2 linked regions of the Kluyveromyces lactis genome follow. The main gene of each other region encodes a partner of the protein of the gene in region 2 in a complex. Links are inferred from orthologs where the notes say so. Each region holds a gene or a part of one and is shown on either strand. Other genes may lie near its edges.

Region 1 (7,846 bases), on a different chromosome or scaffold from region 2:
GGCCATTTAATAGCAGAAGGTCACTTGAAACTTGATGCTTTCAAGCATGTTCCGTTAATGGCAGGACTCAACTCAGATGGAATAATCTTCTTTGATATTTTGCTTTTCCAGTTGTTCCTTTCCGAAGGTAAGGCAGCCGAAATAAAGATCAAACGAGATGGAAAGAAAACATTTGAGTATAACTCTGATGGTTTGTCTTCTTTGATCGAGAAAGGTATTAACATTCAGAATAAGAATGTTATTTTAAAAGCGCTAAGATGGTTTATATCTAAGCATTTTGATTATATCAAGTATATTTCAGGTATGAAAGGCTCAAAAGAACATGATAGAGAAAGTAGAAGACTGTCTTGGGCAGTTGCATCTTTCAAAAAACTGATAGAAGAGGAGCTCAAAGGTGCTGAAGATTGACTATTTTAAGTACTTTTTTTTGCCATTTTAATAGTTACACATGCATATATGAACTAAGTTCAAATAGTTCTATTAATTAACAGTTAAATGTACTTAATTTTACATCGGTGATTGAGCATCCTTGATCGCTTGTACTAATTTTCTACCATCAGCCTTTTGTTTCACTTTTACGACGTATGTGTCTAACCCTCCTTCCGCTTTAATTGCAGGACACTTAACCAAATTCTCATTATTTGGATCTAATGCTTCATAGGAAAATGACTTTATAATACTAGTATTTAGCAAAATATGACCCATACCGTCTGACCTACAAAGTATTCTTGCTTTTGTATTGTCTTCCTTGTTTTGCAAAACCTTCAATTCACCTACACCACGGGAATCATAGGCTTTCGTCTCAGTATTGAAAATCATTAGCTTGGCGCGTTGCGAAAAGAGTAGATTCTCATTCTCCTCACCGTTCGATAGATTCAAAGTTTTAGATGGCTCTTCTTGTGCCTCAGCAGATGCGTCTTCGCTGTTTTTTTCACTAACTTCCTTGGCAGTATCCTTATCAGATGTTGGAGCAGATGAGGCAAAGGGTAAAGAGATCTTGAAGCCAGATGATTCACCTTGTGGAGGCGCCTCTTCAGATTTGTTGGCACCAAAACTGAATGCTGGTACAGTTGATGCTGCTGTTGCCCCAAACGTAAACGTAGGTTTTTTCTCATCTTTTTTGTCGGTCTCCTGTTTTCCAAAAGTGAAAGGAGTGGAGCCTGTTGAAGCTTTACCAAATGTAAATGAAGGTTTAGATGACTCAGCCGGTTTTTCAGAGGTTGTTGAGGTACCGAATGTGAAAGAAGGCTTTTTAGCTTCATCATTACTGTTTTCCTTGCCCATAGCTCCAAATGTAAAGGAAGGCTTTGATGAATCTTTGTTTTCAGTTGCTGTCCTTTGCACTGGAGCAGAGAAGCTAAACGATGGTTTAGAGTCCGCCGATGGAGCAGGGGCAGAGAATGTACCGAAGGTGCTAGCTGGCTTTGCTTCTTCCTTTTTATTTTCACTTTCTTTGGCCAAATCTTTATTGTTGCTGAAAGAAAATGAGAACGGAGATGATGAATTACCATTATCAGCCTTATTTGACCCAAAGGCAGGAAGAGCTGGTTTGCTTCCCTCATTTTTCTCTATGGATGGTGCGGACGCAGAAGGAGGGAATGTTGGTTTAGATTGTGAAGAGTTCCCAAATATACTAGCTGGCTTGTTATCCGTTGGTTTTTCAGCTGGTTCAGATTCCTCTGTCCTTGAAGCATCATTCTTTGGTAAAGTAAAGGCACTGGACGATACAGTCCCATTAAACGTAAATTGGGGTCCCTTGATCTCTATCTCGCTGTCGCTATCGCTGTCAGGTTCCTTACGCTTATTCCCACCGAAGCTGAAAGGCGGATCAGACGTCGTTGGTTTCTTAGCCAAGACAAACTTTGGGCCTTCAACATTAACGGCTGGTTTTTCCTCTTCAGAATCACTATCGCTGTTAATCTCAATTTGTTCTTTTTTATCTTGCAGTCTCTCTTCCGTTACGGTCGTTGTCGGTTTAGTCACCTCCGAAGGTAGAGCAAATGATGGTGCTGCGCTAGGCTTTGCGAATGCAAATGGATTTTTAGGTTTCTCCACATTTGCTGATGTGGTACCAAATGTGAATGAGCTAGTTGGAGGAGCGTTTGCAGCGCCATTAGTTTTCGCTTCTGACCTTAACTGTTGCGAATAGGTCTTGTATTTATCGAACAGGAAAGAAATATCAGCAACTGGATCTGATTCCAATGTAGAATTTATTTTATTTTTGAATTGCACGTTCAATGCCGTGAGTTTTTCGTTTAAGTCAGTGCCTTGAGGTTTCTTGTCATCCTTTATCACTTTGAACATGTTAGGTTTATCACCCGCAGTAAATCCTCCCATTTTCCTCTTTGGCATTGCAATTTTTCTGGTACTCATTACAGATTCGCTGGCAACGGCAGGTTTATCAAATGGAGTCTCGTCATCTGAAACATTATTACTATGTCCGTTCTCAAGACCTTCTCTGGTCATCTGAGAACCCGCAAATCTCTTTGACATATCCTACAGTGAGTATTGTGCTTGGAAAGATCAGCTCAAGAGAAGTCACTTTCTTAATCAGAAACGAATTGAACTAACGGGAAGCAACCGGAAGTAGCAGAAAAGGAGTTTAAGGATTGCTGATGTGTAAGCATTCAGACATCAACATGAGAATTGATGATACTAACACCAGAAATAATAATAAAGCAGCTCGAAATTCTAAATCCTTCAATATACTGTTGACTCGTGTGGGATGACTTATGCTGAACACGTGACTACATGTTATTCTGCTTGTGATGGGTTGCTCAGGGGAGTAAAAATGTAAAAAGTATTTAGCGAAACTTTCGAATCGCTTTCTCCTCCGATACCGGGAGTCGAACCCGGGTCTCCACGGTGAGAGCGTGGTGTGATAGCCGTTACACTATATCGGAATATAAAACGTTGTTATGCTTTCAGGGATTATTTGCAATAGCCACCGTTATAACCGACACACGTGCAATGATTTCTTACCTCATTAGTTGACGCAGGTGGCAAGTACGATGGCCGTAACACCATGTAGGACTTGTTGGTGTAAAACTTGCTAATCTATCAGATGAAACATCTGTTTTATAGCGCTCTTATTTTTAATGTTGTATTACGGGACTGTTTTGTTGGATCCAGACACCACGTTATATATCCGAAAGTTGAACTTTGTATATTTTCTCATGCGTTATTTCCTTCCTAAAGAGGAAATTATCTCCTTTCCAAAATGAGTCCATTTGTCGCAATCCTCGTTATCCTGCTTCACTTTCTCTGCTTCTCCGGTAGGAAGAGGAATACTTTGCGTCCTGGACAAACTCACTTCGGATTGAATATTCATTTTTTGATTTACATTGAATTGCAACTTAGAGATATTAACAAGTTGTTTAAAGTAGCACCTTGATTATTATAGGGTTATTTACTTTTGAGTTCATTCAAGAAGAAACCAGCTAAGGGAATTTGAACGTATGTGCCGTGTACTAGCAGTGGTTACTTATTTGGAATAGCACTTTTGGGATTACGATGAAAGAGATAACAAAATAAAACCAGCACGAGGTCTGATATCGAGGATTATACAAGAATAAGATAGATATATGAATCAGGAAGAGGTTCTAATGTTAATTTATTGATAGTGATGACAAATGAAACAACACCAGTTATACTGAAACAACATTTACCAGAGATATTTTGTGGACGGATTGATAATTTTCTCTCCAACATTGTATTGATCATCGTACTATGGCATCAGGATTAAAAGTGTACTGAATAATGCAGCTTTTTGTTATTTGGTGATATAGCCCAATGGAACTGCCAGCAAATATTTCTTAGGAAACCAGATTCTATAATTTGGGTGAATTTGCTGGAAAGTAAGGATTCATTCAAATTGACAAGCTATCTATCAGAAAAATTCTCTCGTCATTAGTCGGACTTGCGACAAATTTACTAAGTGATGTGCTACTTCTCACTACACCCCTCTTCATAAAGAATCAATTTTTTACTAACAATACCGAACTTAACGTTCCCTTTTCCGCAGAAATATGCCTCCAAAACAACAATTGTCCAAAGCCGCTAAGGCCGCCGCTGCCATGGCTGGTGGTAAGAAGTCCAAGAAGAAGTGGTCTAAGAAGTCCCACAAGGACAAGGCTAAGCACGCTGTTGTCTTGGACCAAGATAAATTCGACAGAATTATGAAGGAAGCTCCAACCTACAGATACGTTTCCGTCTCTGTGTTGGTTGACAGATTCAAGTTGGGTGGTTCCTTGGCCAGAGTTGCTTTGAGACACTTGGAAAACGAAGGCATCATCAAGCCAGTTTCCAAGCACTCCAAGCAAGCCATCTACACCAGAGCTACCGCTTCTGAATAAATGCAATAAAAGTCATATACTCTATTCATATATAACTTTTGTAACTACGGCAAATATTTTCTCGATTTAAAGTCCAATACTATCAGATTATTTCGTTACATATTGATGAGGCATGCTTTTGGTAGACATAGCACAAGTTACCTTAGACTTCTTTCCGTCTTCAAAGTCAGCCCTAACAGTGCTAACTGGACTGATTTCCTGTCATTTTCTACTTGTTAATTTCTGTTTTGTGAAAATTTTAATATGGTTAAAGACGAAAATCAAAAAAATATCATATATAACAGGACCACTTCAAAGATGGTGAATGTTTAATAAAATATTACTGCTGTATCCTCTTTTGCTATTAGTTTTAATGCCTTTCCTCGGCTAATATGCCAGTGTTACTCATACTCTGCAGTGAATATGACATCGAAGGTTTTAAATTCTGAGACCAGAATTGGGGTACAATAATGTATATTGTATTTGAGAAAGAGTTTTCAGCTCTAAAATGCAACACATGCTGACTTAACCAACTGTTATGGAAAACCACTACCGATTCTAAATGATTATAAAAACAAAATATTTATAACTGAGGAAGTATATGCAGGACATATTGTTATTTAGGAATTCTTCGTTTATGATCAGGATCGTTTTGTTTTCCAGTTACAGTTTTGATTAAATCTAGCATGCGATGTTTTCAACGCAAACAATATTGTCCCTCTCCCGAGTCATTGTCCATAGCAGCCGGTATTTATAATACAGGGCATACTTGGATGTCATTTGTTTCCTATGAGCTCATAGGGACCAACAAAAATTAAAGGTGAACAAATCAAATTTAACTGGGGTTTTCAAGGTTTGTGTACTTGATGAACGCTTTCCACAGCTTTTTAAGATCCGGCGATGATTTCTTCGGAAATATGTGCCTGGATAACATCATGCATCACCATCTGATACGTATACTGAAGTTAGATTCTATGTCTAACTTCCTGCAATGCAAACCAAAGAAAAATAACAAAAAAATTGAATTTGATTATCATTTCTACGTTTTTGTTGGTTGAGATACTACCTAATCATAACTGACTCCATTTCTTGAATTCAATTACTTCTACTTCTGATTGAATTGCTTATTGTGATGAATCCTAAATTATCAGTTCTGCTTCTGAACCAAAAATTACAGGAAGATAACTAATTTACCAAGCTCAATAAATCTGAAATAAGCATGAAGTCTGGAGTAAGAATATCTAATATTATAATCTTAATTGTGTTTAAGTTAAGCATACAACTTTTGCTTGTTTTATTCACTTATACACTAACGTTTATTAATAAAAACGTCTTATACTTGAAATATAGAAAGGCTCACACAAATGAATGTTGAAAAGAATGGTATACTTGAAACGTTAAATTGAGCTTCTTTTCTTCCAATTCATGTATCAATTTTGAATCTCTGTAAAGCCTGTTCTCTTTCCTTCATTCTGTTGTATAGGAAGCCCTTAATGAAATTCCATTTCTCTTTCTGACTTTCAGGAACCTTCTTGTCAACTTTTAACAACAATTTCAATAAAGTTGCTTGCGTGTAAGGAGAGAAGTTTAATCTCAACCAGAAGATAGCAATTGTGAATAGTAGAACAAACCCTGAAATCGCTTCCTTGAAAAGCAATGTGTTGACTGCTAAAGTTAAAATAACAATCAATTCAGAATATGCCATCAAATGTAAAAGCTTGGCGTTCTTCAAAGTGATCTCAGAAATTTCGGTATTTTTAACCTCGTCCTTCTTCGAAATATGTAAATAACTCACAATCATCAATGGGAATAGTTTGAACGATGATCTTCTACTGACCATCCAAAGGCTAGCCATCATAATGCCTTGGGAATTCTCTGAGCTTAACAAGTCATAAAATGAGGGTGAAGTATTAGACCATTTTTGATAGTCAGTAACACCATAAGACATGAAAACACCGAGCAATGACCCTTGATAGCATAAATTTGGGTACCAACTGATCAAATATTGGCTCCAAGTGCTATTCTTCCAGGTGACCTTGTGAACGTTACGCTTTGCTAACAAAAACAGAGTCTTCCATGATCTTCTCTTGTAAACAGTTAAATTGTGTTTGAAAGCATACAAAACATATAATGCTCCTAAAACTAGAGTCAAATAATGACCAACAATCCAAATTGCCCTTTGCTTGGCTTTGATATCAACCTTGGAATCCTTCTTACGGATAACTTTCATTGTGTCTCTTTTATTTCCGTGAATAAAACAGCTAGTACCAACAATTTCCAAACAAAAGTATTGCAAACTATTTGCTCAGATAAATAAATGGCAATTGCAATAAACGGAAGAGCTTCAGCAGGTCTGGAAACAAGCTATCCATCTTCCAAGTTTTTAAACCCTTATAATATTTGATTGTTCCGTGTGTATTTTCAACAAAGCAATTTTTTAAAACCTTTCTTTGCATTAGATCGAGGCGAAAGCGAAAATAATGTTCGCAGCTTATTTCATGTCATCTCATCGGTATTAAAAGCTGGGTAAACTTCACAAGATGTAAATAAAATAATACATAGATAGTTGCTGTAAGTCTTGAGTGAGGGATATTAGTATTTGATCAAATGGATCTTGTTTGTACTTAGTTTTAATAGACTTTTGAATATCTGTAGCACGCGATTTTTCCTCGTTTGATTCAAACTTAGGATCTTTTATGATTTGAGCAGTTGGACATTTCAGTTTCTCTTACTCACTTCATCTCGGTTGAGAATAGTGAAACACTTAAGAAAGCACTAATCTGTGTCAGGACGCTATTTGATCTATAGATGGCAAAGTCAAGATTTGAATACGTAAGGCAATTTGAAGTGCATGATGCGTTGCTTCCGGATACATACATAGTGGTAAGAGTTGATGGGAAGAAATTCCATGAATTCTCAAAATACTATAATTTCGCTAAACCAAATGATGAGAGGGCATTGAAACTAATGAACGCTGCTGCTAAAAATGTGTTCATGCAGTATAAACAAGAAATGATTTGTGCGTATGGTGAAAGCGATGAATACTCATTCATTTTGAAGAGAGATACAAAACTTTTTAATAGAAGACGTGATAAGATCAGTACCCTGTTCGTATCGTTGTTCACAGCTAATTATGTCTCTCTTTGGAACCTATTTTTCCCCGATGTCGTCCTACATCATAAACATTTGCCATACTTTGATTCCCGTTGTGTTTGTTATCCAAACCTCACTGTGGTAAAAGATTATCTTTCGTGGAGATTTGTTGATACACATATCAATAACTTGTACAATACAGTCTTCTGGTACTTGATCATAAAGTGCGGTCTAACACCTCAAGAATCAGAACAAAAGCTTTGTGGAACGTTGTCCAGTGATAAGCAGGAAATTTTGTTCTCAGAATGTGGGATTAACTATAATAACGAACCAGAGATGTATAAGAAGGGTTCCTTAGTAAACTCTAAAGGTGAAATAGTGCACATCGATGTGGTGAAACAAATTGATGAAATTTTTAA
Region 2 (11,824 bases):
CAGTTCCCCCAGTTGTCTTCTTTGCAGCCATGGCTTCTCTACGGGATTCACTTTTCAGTGCTTGTTGAGACTTCGTCATTACATTTGATTCGACCTTAGCCATAAGCTCACGATGCAAATGCATCGCTGGATGGTTATCGTTACCTAGTCTTAACTTCTCTGGAATCTCTTGATTGGAAATAGCAACCTCGTAGGCTAATTCCAACCTGTCCGTTAACCTTTCTAAAGAATCGTAGGCTATAGATGAAACATGCATCTTCTCTTCCAATGACGGGATCAGCTCTTGAAACCATTGGTTTATCACACGTAGAGGAACCTTGGACTCATCAGGAACGTTTCTCCCACCAAGGAATCCTTTAATGCATTTATTTAGTTCAGGAATTATATTAACGCATTTAGCATCAATTTCATAGAGTAGAGTCATGTACCGTGAAACGTCTAATGGCACCTCTTCCAATACATCACTAATATCATTAAGACCAGGGTATAAATTTGCAGGTGCTGCCATATCTTGAGTTGTATTGTCTATGTCTCGCTATCGTGATATGTAGTACAGCTTGTGATTCCTACTGGATTGAGAGATCTTTTGAATCACACAAATGTCAATACACTACATACAACATGTAATTGTATTGCGTGCACTTATCCGGTATGCTAAACAATTCTAGTTACCTGACCTAAAAGAAAAGGTATAAATTTGATATTCAAAGCTTTTAATAAGACTAAGCGAGAACCTGAAGAAAAGAAAAATAGATCACGTGAAAATTATTATCACGTGATTGGTATTAAATAATCGTTTTGGATTCTAAGTAGGTTATACAATGGAAAGCTCGGGGTTTGTTTGATTACGATCATCCGTGAAACCCTGTCCGCAATCTTTTGTTTATGTTTTTTGTTTTCACTGTTGTCTCCTTCCACCTGTGTCACATTTGTCACTTCATTTCCCCCGCTCTAAATAGAAAAAAAAAAGGCGATTAGAATTTTGCTGACACTAAATCCTGTCGGCATCGGGTAAAATAAGGTAAAAAGGGAATATGTATCAGAAATAATGAATGGATCACGCAGGGAAACAGCCGCAGGGATCCCGTGCGAATTTGGAGATGTTCCAGCACATGACCTTGTACTTAAATTGTAGAGTATCTGTTCTTTCATTTGTTGTCATGCATTCAGGGCTGATTCTATTTCTAACGGCCAGTCACACAAAATGTTGTACTGATTCCTTGTATCAATCCTAGATTATCTCTACAAAGTCCGTTAACTTGAGAATTTTTTTGGTGATGACTATAATGATTCACCAAGAAAGTCACAATCCTGGACCAAAAGAAAATCCTGAATGTTTGATGATTATGATGATGATATGATGTTAATGATCAGCAATATCATGGCTAATTACTTTCATGAGGAAGAGAAACGTTTTTTTTTTTTTTCGTAGATATATAAATCACAGCCTTTCGGTGCAAACCTGAAGCATACACTTAGATAAGAAGAACATTCAGTACCGAGGTATATGAAATTGGTCTGATCAAAGTGCACCAAAGCTAACGTATATATATACAGTATCACTTCGACGAACACTATTGAAAAGGGAAAAATGAGTGACGCCTCCATTGAAATTGAATTGGAAACATCGCATGTTAATGATGTTTCCCAAACAAAGTCACAATTAACAGAAAATTTGAAGTCATTAGCTGCAGGCGGTGTTGGAGGTGTTTGTGCAGTGTTGACCGGACATCCTTTTGATTTGGTGAAAGTCAGATGTCAATCAAACCAAGCACGTAGTGCCATGGATGCAGTCTCACATATTCTACAAGCTGCACGTCAGGCAGCCGGTCCTACTTCTTTGAATGCAGTGCGTGGGTTTTATAAAGGTGTGGTCCCTCCATTATTGGGTGTTACTCCAATCTTTGCTGTGTCCTTCTGGGGTTATGACGTAGGTAAAAAATTGGTCACGAGTGTGCCCTCTTCGGCGGCTAGTGGTGCCGCAGCAGTGGAACCAGAATTGACATTGTCACAGATGGCAGCAGCAGGGTTCATCAGTGCAATTCCTACTACGTTAGTCACTGCACCCACTGAACGTGTTAAAGTTGTCTTACAAACTACTCAGGGTAAAGCTTCGTTTTTGGATGCTGCCAAACAGATAGTGCGCACACAGGGTTTCCAATCTCTATTCAAGGGTTCTCTAGCGACTTTATCCCGTGATGGGCCAGGAAGTGCGTTATACTTTGCCAGTTATGAGATTTGCAAGGAATATTTGAATAAGGCAAGCGGACATACCTCAGGAGAGTTGTCAATTACCAACGTTTGTATCAGTGGTGGTATGGCAGGTGTTTCTATGTGGGTAGTAGTGTTCCCCATTGATACTGTGAAGACACAATTACAATCATCTTCCAAGCGTCAATCGATGCTTGAAGTGACGCGCATGATCTACAACACAAGAGGTGGTATTAAAGGGTTCTTCCCTGGTGTTGGACCTGCCATTTTGAGATCATTCCCAGCTAATGCGGCCACTTTCTTGGGAGTGGAGTTGACCCATTCGTTGTTCAAGAAGTTCGAGCAACAAAAAACTAGTTCAATTTGAACTGGACCCCTCTATAATGATATTATTTATGCACTTCCGTTACGACAACTTCTTTTGAAAGAAATTATTTAATGAATATAATACAATAAAAAGCCTTCTGTTTGTTGTCTTGAGAGGAAGAAAAAGTCCGACTTGGATCCTTCACAGTCCTCCTATAAGACTAAAAAAGAAGAAAAGCGTTTCTTGTTACACGTATATTTTATGTATGGTTAGTGTTATATTTTTCTCCTCGTTTGAATTCATGTGAAGTTTTGCCAGCCCTCAGGTTTCTTCAAGTTTCTAACGTTGTAGAACTGTGGAGTACAGGAGTAAGATTTCCAAGTGAAATCATCACTTGGGGAGCAGACACATCTGTGATCCCTTCTGAATGCATCAGAAACTGGACAGGAATGGAATGGAACGTGGTAGTAACCGACGTCATTGAAATGATGGATTTGGTTCTTGTCCAAAAACAATGCAGCAGCAATAGAATGGACAGGGGCGTCACCCCATCTTTCGTAGAAGAACCCACCAGCATGATCCAAATGATCGAAGAACTTTGTGTAGGCTTCACTTCTCCATAGTTCTAGGGATGCGACTTCGAAGTTCGACCAGAAATGACACAAGTTATAAGAAGCACCGTTATCATCTGAGATGAACTTCATCATGTTGTTCTTGTGCAAATATTGTGGGTTTGCCTGGTTAAATTCGAAAACGGTCTTCCACAACGTTTCTATGGTAGCTTCGTATTCTCTCAAAGAGATGGTGAAACCGTACTTCTTATCGTTATCCTTCATGAATTTGAAAATGTCGTAATCGATATCACAGTAGATCTTAACACCTGGTTCAACACGCCAGTAGAACTCGTATTCATCCATCAATTTGTGTCTATAGAAGAATCCTGATTCATAACGACACATATGTCTGTATGATTCCGAATGACCATAGATAATCTTCTTGGCTTTCATATCAGCTCTGACTTGAGCAGCCTTTTCCTGGTCGATCCAGCTTGGATAGGACCAGTGTTCGACAGGGATTAGGCCAAACTTGACGTTACCACTAATCATAGAAGCAACTGTATTCTTGAAGTCATCTGTGAACTCTTCATCGTTCAAAAACACCCAATCGTATTGGAACTTCTTGTTGAATCTATCTTCAACAGACCTAATAGATGACAATAATTCTGTCAAATCACCGTTACGTGCCAAAGTCACAAAAGTTGCCTTAACCTTGGAGCCAGTGTACTTACCGGAATCGACGGTGGTGTACTTCAACCCTGTGTTTGGGTCTACAACAACACGGGAATCACCCTTCATGCGAACGGTCTCGTACTGATTTGCATTCTGCGAAGATGACACACCAGTGCTGTATCCACCATTGTATGAAGCACCTTGGAACAACAAATAGATGGTAATTGCAGCAACGATAATTATCCCAAGGAGACGCGCAGAACGCTCCTTATTGATTCTGGTCTCGCTCATGGCTTATTGAAAGATTACTGAACAGCTTTCTCCCAACCTATTTCCAATTGAAATAAAGAAAAATAGCGGATTTGTTAAGAAGAAATCAACAACGACCAATGTGGTTTCAGGATATTCACGTCAAACGATCAAATAACTTAGTAAAGCACCTAAGGAAACAAAAAACGATACCGAGTTGTTAAAGGTAAAATGCCTTCGTTTGTAATTTTTCAGTTTTCTTCAATTGAACAGTGGATATACGCTATTCTAATATCACATTTTTCTCGAGGCAACCCAGATTCGATCAGGGAATATTGAAAACTACAAAAAAAAAAAAAAAACTATATGATACCATTAGCAGAGCTCAGCCATAAAAATAGCACATTTATGACATTTATGACATTTATCGATCTCCCACTTCATGACTCGTAGTCGAAGGCATCGTGCGATGTTCCACTGCCCATTTTCTTCTAGTGTAATGATTCTTTTCTTTTCGGATTTAGACTTATGTGTTCGTTTCAGTCTTCTGTCCCTTCAAGGTGTTTTTTGGGATTTTCCTTGACCGATATGGCCTCTTCGTTTCGGAATCAAGCGGTCTGTTCTGTGGTGTCGAAGCCTCATAACCACATTCGGTGTTGCACTTTTTACTTGATTTCCTCCATGACGCGTTCTTCAAGGTTTCCCCAAACTAAAAAAAAAAAAACAAGATGGGACGAATGTATGACAGGATGGGGAGAAATCGGTCACGTGATAATCTGAATTTCACAAGAATAGAACACTTGTACTGTTAAGCATGGCATTGATGCACACTACGTTCTATCCTGTGCGTTCTTGCAGTTTAACGTTAAGTTTTTCTTTACTTATATATCAATTTGTTCTTTTCGATCCCTCATGTCACTTTCAGGCCTTATGTATAGAAAAATGAACAAAACTTGAGTTCTATATAAAACTTGAAAGCTAAAATAACGAAAAAGGGTACTTTTGTATTAAGTGGACGGCAAATCTTTAAACTTTCATAATGTAGAATCGTTATAATAAATTTTGGATAATAGTCGAGCCCCATATTGATGTTTTGGAACTAATGCAAATTTATGTCCATCTCCTAGCTAGACTCTCTTATACTGACGCCTTGGTTAGTTTAGGTCAATATGTGTCAAACCGTACAAAGTGATTATAACCCTGTAAGAGGAAAAAAATAACAGCTAGGAATGTTAGGACTTGAAATATCGAATTATCAAATATCGAATAATACCTTTATTAATACGCAAGAAAGTTACAGAAACAGCAGTTTCGAAAGAAATAGGAATCGAAAACTTGAATTGGACTCTGGTTCACTTGCCGCATATCACGGCCACTTTATAGAATAATGTCGGCATCATATCTGGAAAAACCCAAAAGATCGATTTCATCGACTTTGGCATCATTATTTACCAAGCATGACGATACGAATAGCGAAGATCCGAATATAACAAGGTCGCACAATGAAGATATCAGTGATTCAGGATCAGTGGTCATCAAGAGGCAAAAACGTGGCTTCGACGGTTACGAGGAATTGGTTTGGAATAACGAAAAAATCACCGATCACCCGTTAAATCACAATGGCATTGATGATATCAATTATGATGAAAGACCGAATATTTTCTTGTATGAAGGGGATTCTGAACATGGTGTAAGGCCTCCAGTACTAACGATAGAACCGAAACAAAGATTGCGGCTACTAAGGATGCAGCAACTGCGCCGTGCTCGGCAATTCCCACTTTTACAAAGACAATTACAATCAGCAGAGAACGGCCTATATCGCTTAACAGACGGCAAAAATGCTACTATAAAGAATTTACTCGTCAACAAACTACAAAGTGACAAGAAAAATCATAGGGTTTCCGATAACCCAAAGTCCAAGAAGTGGAAAGCTGATTTTCAATACGATTTATCAGAATATGATATCTTGAAAAACGACAAAAAGACGAAACCAGTATCTGCCTCAATGGGGAATTTGGAATCTCCTAAACTACCACATCCATTGCTAAAAAGGAGTACCTCTTCAAAGAAACATGTCAATACTTTTGATCAAACAGGAGTGCCTAGTGGATCTGGCTTAACTGATGTTCAAAGCAGGTTATTACAAGGAAAGACATTGCAAAAAAATCCAAAGATAGCACAAGAAGTAGTTGCACCAACACTATCATTGAAACCTATCGTCAAGGAAAAAATATCAGAAGATAAAGTTTTAAACGCTAACGGCCCAAGTGTTGGATTTGACTTTATGAATAGAGACAGTACTTCTATTTTCCCAGGTAGCACAGATACACCTACCAAACCAACAGTATCCAAAAATATATCTTTTGGAAATACCAAATTGGATTTATTCAACAATGATAAACAGAAATTAACGGCCCCTTCTCAGGATTCTGAAGAGTTACCAAGAAAAAAGAAAGAATTTAGTTCTACTGAGGACACTGTTAAACCATTTCCCTTCACAAGTTCTAAGTCGCTGGAAACATCAACTGAACCATCGAAACCTGCTTTTTCTTTTGATGCGGTAAAAAAAAACAACACAGCTACAGCCAATGGAGGCACAAAAATCTCAGATGGTGCTCCTTCTTTCACCTTTGGTGATTTATCAAAAACCAAGAAAGAGACCAAAAAAGCTGAAACATCCAAAAACCCCTTTGAGAAATCCGCCCCCGAACCTGTTGAAAATCTGGCTAAAGACGGCCTCCCTAAGTTCAGCTTCACTGGTGCGGATACAACTGGGATATCAAATATACCTACATTTAGTTTTGGAAAATCTTCAGAAGGCAAAGAGATAGCTAAACCCGCCCCTTCATTCAGTTTTGGCAGCCAAAAAGATGCAGGCGAACCAACTAATGTCAGTGAAATGTCAAAACCTATGTTTAGCTTCAACAAAGGAAAATCATCTACTCCAGATCTGACCCCATTGAGTACCTCTCAATCAACTAATACACCTAAACCACTATTTCAGTTTGGTTCCAGTGGTAGTACTGAACCTGCCGCAAAGAGACCAGATGGTACAAAAACTGAAGCACCAGTGCTGCCATCATTCAGCTTTGGTGGTAAACCTGTAGGAAATGATTCGTCAAAAAATATTGAGAAGGAAAAAGCTAAACCTTTCAGTTTTGGGCAAGCTTCGAATACATCAGCATTTTCTCTCAACCAACAGCCTTCAGCAGACAACGCGACAGAGAAGCAGGAAGCCAAAAATGCCGTCAGTACTGCTGTAAAACCTGCATTCTCCTTTGGTAGCACCCCAGCAGCCCTACCTTCTGATACAACCCCAAAAGAAGCTGCTGCACCATCATTTTCGTTCGGGACCACAAAGAAACCTGTTCAAGGTGATATGAGTTCGAAACCTGCATTCTCTTTTGGAAGTTCCTCTGCCATCCAGCAGCCCTCAATTGAAAAAGCTTCCAATGCAATTCCTTCGTTTGCAAGTCAGAACACCAGTGGCCAGCCTGTCAGCGGACTCAAATTTGATTTGACAGGGTTTAAAAATAATAATAGACAAACTACTCCGACTCCGTTTTCAGATTCATCAAATGTTGGATCTGCTCGTGGAAGCAACCCTCCTGTCCCATTCTCATTTGATAATGTCGTTCAACCTGGGAATAAGATAAGTGTAACGCAGCCTACTCAAACTACATTTACTTTTGCACAACAAAATCAAAAACCATTTACTTTTACTGGAAGTGGGCCAAGCACTACCAACAGTTCACCTGCATTTGGAACCAGTTCCAATCAGCCTAATGTACCTTTTTCATTCGGCGGAAGCTCAGCTTCTTCCACTCCCCAGGTACCAGCATTGGGTACCGGTTTCGGTAATTCTATGCAGACAAACACATTTAATCCTTCAGCCGCTGCCAATTTTAATTTTGGTGGTCAACCATCTCAAAGTCCTTCTGTAGTATTTGGATCCCAAACCCCGCAACAGAATCCATCGTCCATATTTTCCGCTGGTCAGCAGAATCCAGCGGACATATTCAATGCGCAGGCTTCAACTCCTCAAGGAGGGGCACCATTTCCACCGCAGCGCAAAATTGCTATGCCCGGTAGGAGAAGAAGAAGAGGCTAATAAAGGAAAACAAAGGCTTTGCATCTCAATTGTAACAATTATTGCATGATATCATTCCTTCCGACATCTTTACATTTATGTGTAAGAATGTATCTACTAATGTCATCTTAAAGTTTAGGTAAAAAATTTTGTTTCGAGAGAGTACTCGAATGGAGCTTCGTTAACGGATGAGATGCTCGTAAAATCTTTAAGTGGAACTACATCAACTTATAAATCAAGTCTAACATACTCAATAGCAAGAAATTGAGTGATTTCGCTTGTGGTATCCAAATTGAACCGGCTATTACTTGAAACATAGGCATTTCTGGAAAGTATTGATCAAATTTAGTTACATTGAAACTGCTATGCGTAGCGCAGTTCATGACAGCTTTGCAGGAATTCAATTGAATTATGAGTCACGTGAATATTCGTTTCGCCTAGTCAACTTCATAATACCGTAATGTTGTGAAAATCAACAAAAGCGCATTCTTTAAATATGTAACATGAAAGTGTCAATCACTAAATTAATATCTTCCAGTAAAGTAAAAAACTCCATAACCATGGACATTTCAGAACAAATACTGCCACGCCTTACCCACTTACAAAAATGTGTTCACTCGAAACCTTATAATGTACTTCACGTCCCTTCATTCCTCTTAGGGTGCTTTGTGGTAATTATGATCTCTTCTTTACAACCTTTATTCAGATCAATACTAGGAAGTGTACTGATAGGTGTTTTACGAATAATTAAGTATTCAGTTATTGGCGGTGGTGTAGGTTTGATAATAATGGTTTTAACTTCAGATCAAAGTAAACAACCTACTAAAGCTCGACAAAGTAAGCATCATGAAGGTGATTTTCAACCAATAGGAATAAATACCTTGCAAACTAAGGTTAATAAACACAGCCGTCCCACCCAGGCTCCAGAACCTGTTACTGTAACGAGTGCAGCTTACGAAACTTTTATTAAAAGGGCCGAATGATTTCTCCTATATACATCTACCCACACATTACGACCAATTGACACTAATGGGTGTGGTTGGTTGGTTGGTTTTGATCCTAATCAATGGTGGTTTCTAGCTATATTTACGCCGTAATGAAACATGTACTTTAGTGATCTTGTAGAGAATGATATAATATGTGCCAAGAGCTTATATTTGTTTATATAAGATTATCATTTCAAGCTCAAATGAGTAGAACTCACACTAGAATACAATAGAAACAGTACCAGAAGTACGAGTTTATGAAAATAAAACTTAAATTTCTTTTAGATTAATAGATGATTATTGACAAAATAAACTATCAACTGATTTAGTGGGTTTCGCTTGGGATTTCGAAAACAATTTGCTTACCGGTCAATTTGTTGTAGACGGCTTGGAAAGATTCCAACTTGTTGTCGATGTGTTGGACGTCCTTGGAGTTCAACAAGATCTTTTGGATCTTGTTACCACCAACCAAGTATCTGACTCTCTTACCAACGATTTCAGTTGGGAAAACCAAATCTTCCAAGATCTTATCGTGAACAGCAGTCAAGGTTCTGGATCTTGGTCTCTTTTGAGTTTGTCTGGATTTTCTAGATGGCTTTGGCAAGATTCTTCTTTCAGCCAAGAAGATGACATGACGGTCTTGGAACTTCTTTTCCAATTCTCTGGTCAACTTGATTTGGACCTTGTGGTAGGCAGCCAAAGATGGGACTGGAACAAAGACAGCCAAAGCTTTCTTACCACCAGCGACTTCGATCTGTAATGAAAATACGGAGGATAAATTGTTAGTAAAAATAAGACTTTATTATTATCACAGGGTACTAGAGGCACGAATGATTGGATTATAAAATGCAATAATGCAATATAATCACATCATTAAGGAATTGACTTGTTTTATGGATATCACTTTTGTCGTGCATGATTTCGAAAATTTAGTAATAACTGTGACATTTCGTAGAGAACTTATCTGTCGATATTCTTTCTTAGCAAGCATCAGATGGGTACAGAGATACTAGGCATACCTCACTTCAAAGCTTTAGTCATGCAGATTGCTTAATATATTAACAGATGTAATATTTTGTTCGTTAGATCATTTTCTTACATTATCTTTGTTATTTCCTCACTCCTGGAAACATATATTCATTCATTCATCTTATGTTTATTAACATTTCAGTTATCGTAAACGTATAGGTAATCCAATATTCAATCATTCCTTTTGCCTTTGAAAGTAGTACCACTTTCTTATAGTGTTTTAATGTTTCACATACTTCTCTGATGGACTTGAATTGCAAAGCTCTCAAATCAGCCTTCAATTCTGGAGAGTTGTTTTCCAAGTCGATGAAAGCTTGGGCAACTTGCAATTCCAATTCAGTTGGAGCTTGGGACAAAATCTTGGCTTGTGGGTCAGACATCGTGGCTTATGTTTCCTTGCTTGGTTATATCAAGAACTCCTCTAATGGAAAAAAATCGCTAAAACAGTGCTGCAACTAATATTCAACTAACGCTAATTTATTGTATATAACTATTAGACCTCATTTCAATTGTTTAAACAGTAAACCTTCAATTCTGAAAAAGTTGCTGAGACTGGGATGCATTACGATGAATGAAACCTACTACTGGCCTGGTCTGGATAGCTCGTAGAATTTGCCGGTCCATACTTCCACACAGTAGGTAGAGAGAGTAGCGAGCCTAGACAGTCGACACGGCCTAGCTGGGTTCCTTCCTACACCCGGAACAGGACCAAACGGTAGGTGGAAAGGTCCATTGGAGGCCCTGCCTAACCTGTTAGGGTCTCTCAGACCTGACTGGTGATCGAAAGACATGCCGTGGCTACGATGGAAGGACACTTCGTTACGAATGTGGGAAGCGGTGGCTATTCTCAAAATGAAAAATACAACGCCATAATACCTAAAAAGGGAGGGTGAATATATCTAGAAAAATGAAAGACTTTCGTGGTGTACAGATGCAAAGACGGTAAAAATATGTATGGATGTAACAGTCCCAGGTTATTACTTCTCCAGGTGTTTTTTTTGTGAGAAAGAGATGAAAGAGAAAGCATCAAGCAGTTACCATCCCAAAGAGTCACGTTTTTATGACATAGTAGTGTATGTTTTAAGCATTTATGAACAACGAACGTCCTTTAGCACAAGAAAAAATTACCCGGGAAGAATATTAATGCATTGATAAGTATTTCCTTGCCCAACGTTGATATAATGCGTCAAGCTCCGCTTCGAGATCTCCAACTGGAACTACTTCCCATTCCTCCCGTAATATCTCAGCATTCGCTTTGATCGTTTTTTGTTCTTTTTTTCTTTTTTTTCCTAGTTTTTCTGATGGCTCACATTAATGTCAATGTGAGATGGAATTTAGTTGGCTGAAATATGTAGCGCTCATTTACCAAAGTTTATATATTCAAACGCACCCCCCACAGAAATTAAATACGTACCTATCCGGTGTTTTACTTTACTGTATTGGTTTATATTCTTGTTAAAATGCTTTTATGTACCGTGTGTTTGATAAACTAGCTTCTAGGCCGTTTGTTTCACTCCCCGGAATCCAGCTCATCGCCAAAATGCCATTATCCGATCTTAATAAACTGCCTCCATTAGCTGACCAGTTGGAACAAGCTAAGAGAATTGCAGCCTACCGTGCTGTTGACGAAAACTTCGACGCAAAGACCCATAAGGTTGTCGGTGTTGGCAGTGGTACTACTGTTGTTTATGTTGCTGAAAGACTTGGGGAATACATGGATGAG

The links. The genes of interacting proteins can lie anywhere in the genome.
Region 1: NUP1 (region 2) and NUP2 share a complex: the UniProt entries of both Saccharomyces cerevisiae proteins name them as parts of the nuclear pore complex. The link is inferred for Kluyveromyces lactis from reciprocal best matches to the Saccharomyces cerevisiae genes NUP1 and NUP2.

Annotation. Positions count from the first base shown.
Region 1 is NC_006038.1:545,767-553,612, forward strand, and holds NUP2 (nucleoporin NUP2), read right to left. Parts: upstream 2,494-7,846; coding exon 508-2,493; downstream 1-507. Other genes in the region: SGD1 (Sgd1p), read left to right, coding at 1-408; RPS25A (40S ribosomal protein eS25), read left to right, coding at 4,029-4,355; KLLA0_B06215g (uncharacterized protein), read right to left, coding at 5,758-6,564; THG1 (tRNA guanylyltransferase), read left to right, coding at 7,143-7,846. UniProt on the Saccharomyces cerevisiae protein: Functions as a component of the nuclear pore complex (NPC).
Region 2 is NC_006039.1:1,144,328-1,156,151, forward strand, and holds NUP1 (FG-nucleoporin NUP1), read left to right. Parts: upstream 1-5,383; coding exon 5,384-8,107; downstream 8,108-11,824. Other genes in the region: PHO23 (Pho23p), read right to left, coding at 1-508; CRC1 (carnitine:acyl carnitine antiporter), read left to right, coding at 1,592-2,578; alpha-1,2-mannosyltransferase KTR1, read right to left, coding at 2,818-4,038; KLLA0_C13497g (uncharacterized protein), read left to right, coding at 8,590-9,069; RPS7A (40S ribosomal protein eS7), read right to left, coding at 9,398-9,826, 10,338-10,481; ribose-5-phosphate isomerase RKI1, read left to right, coding at 11,570-11,824. UniProt on the Saccharomyces cerevisiae protein: Functions as a component of the nuclear pore complex (NPC).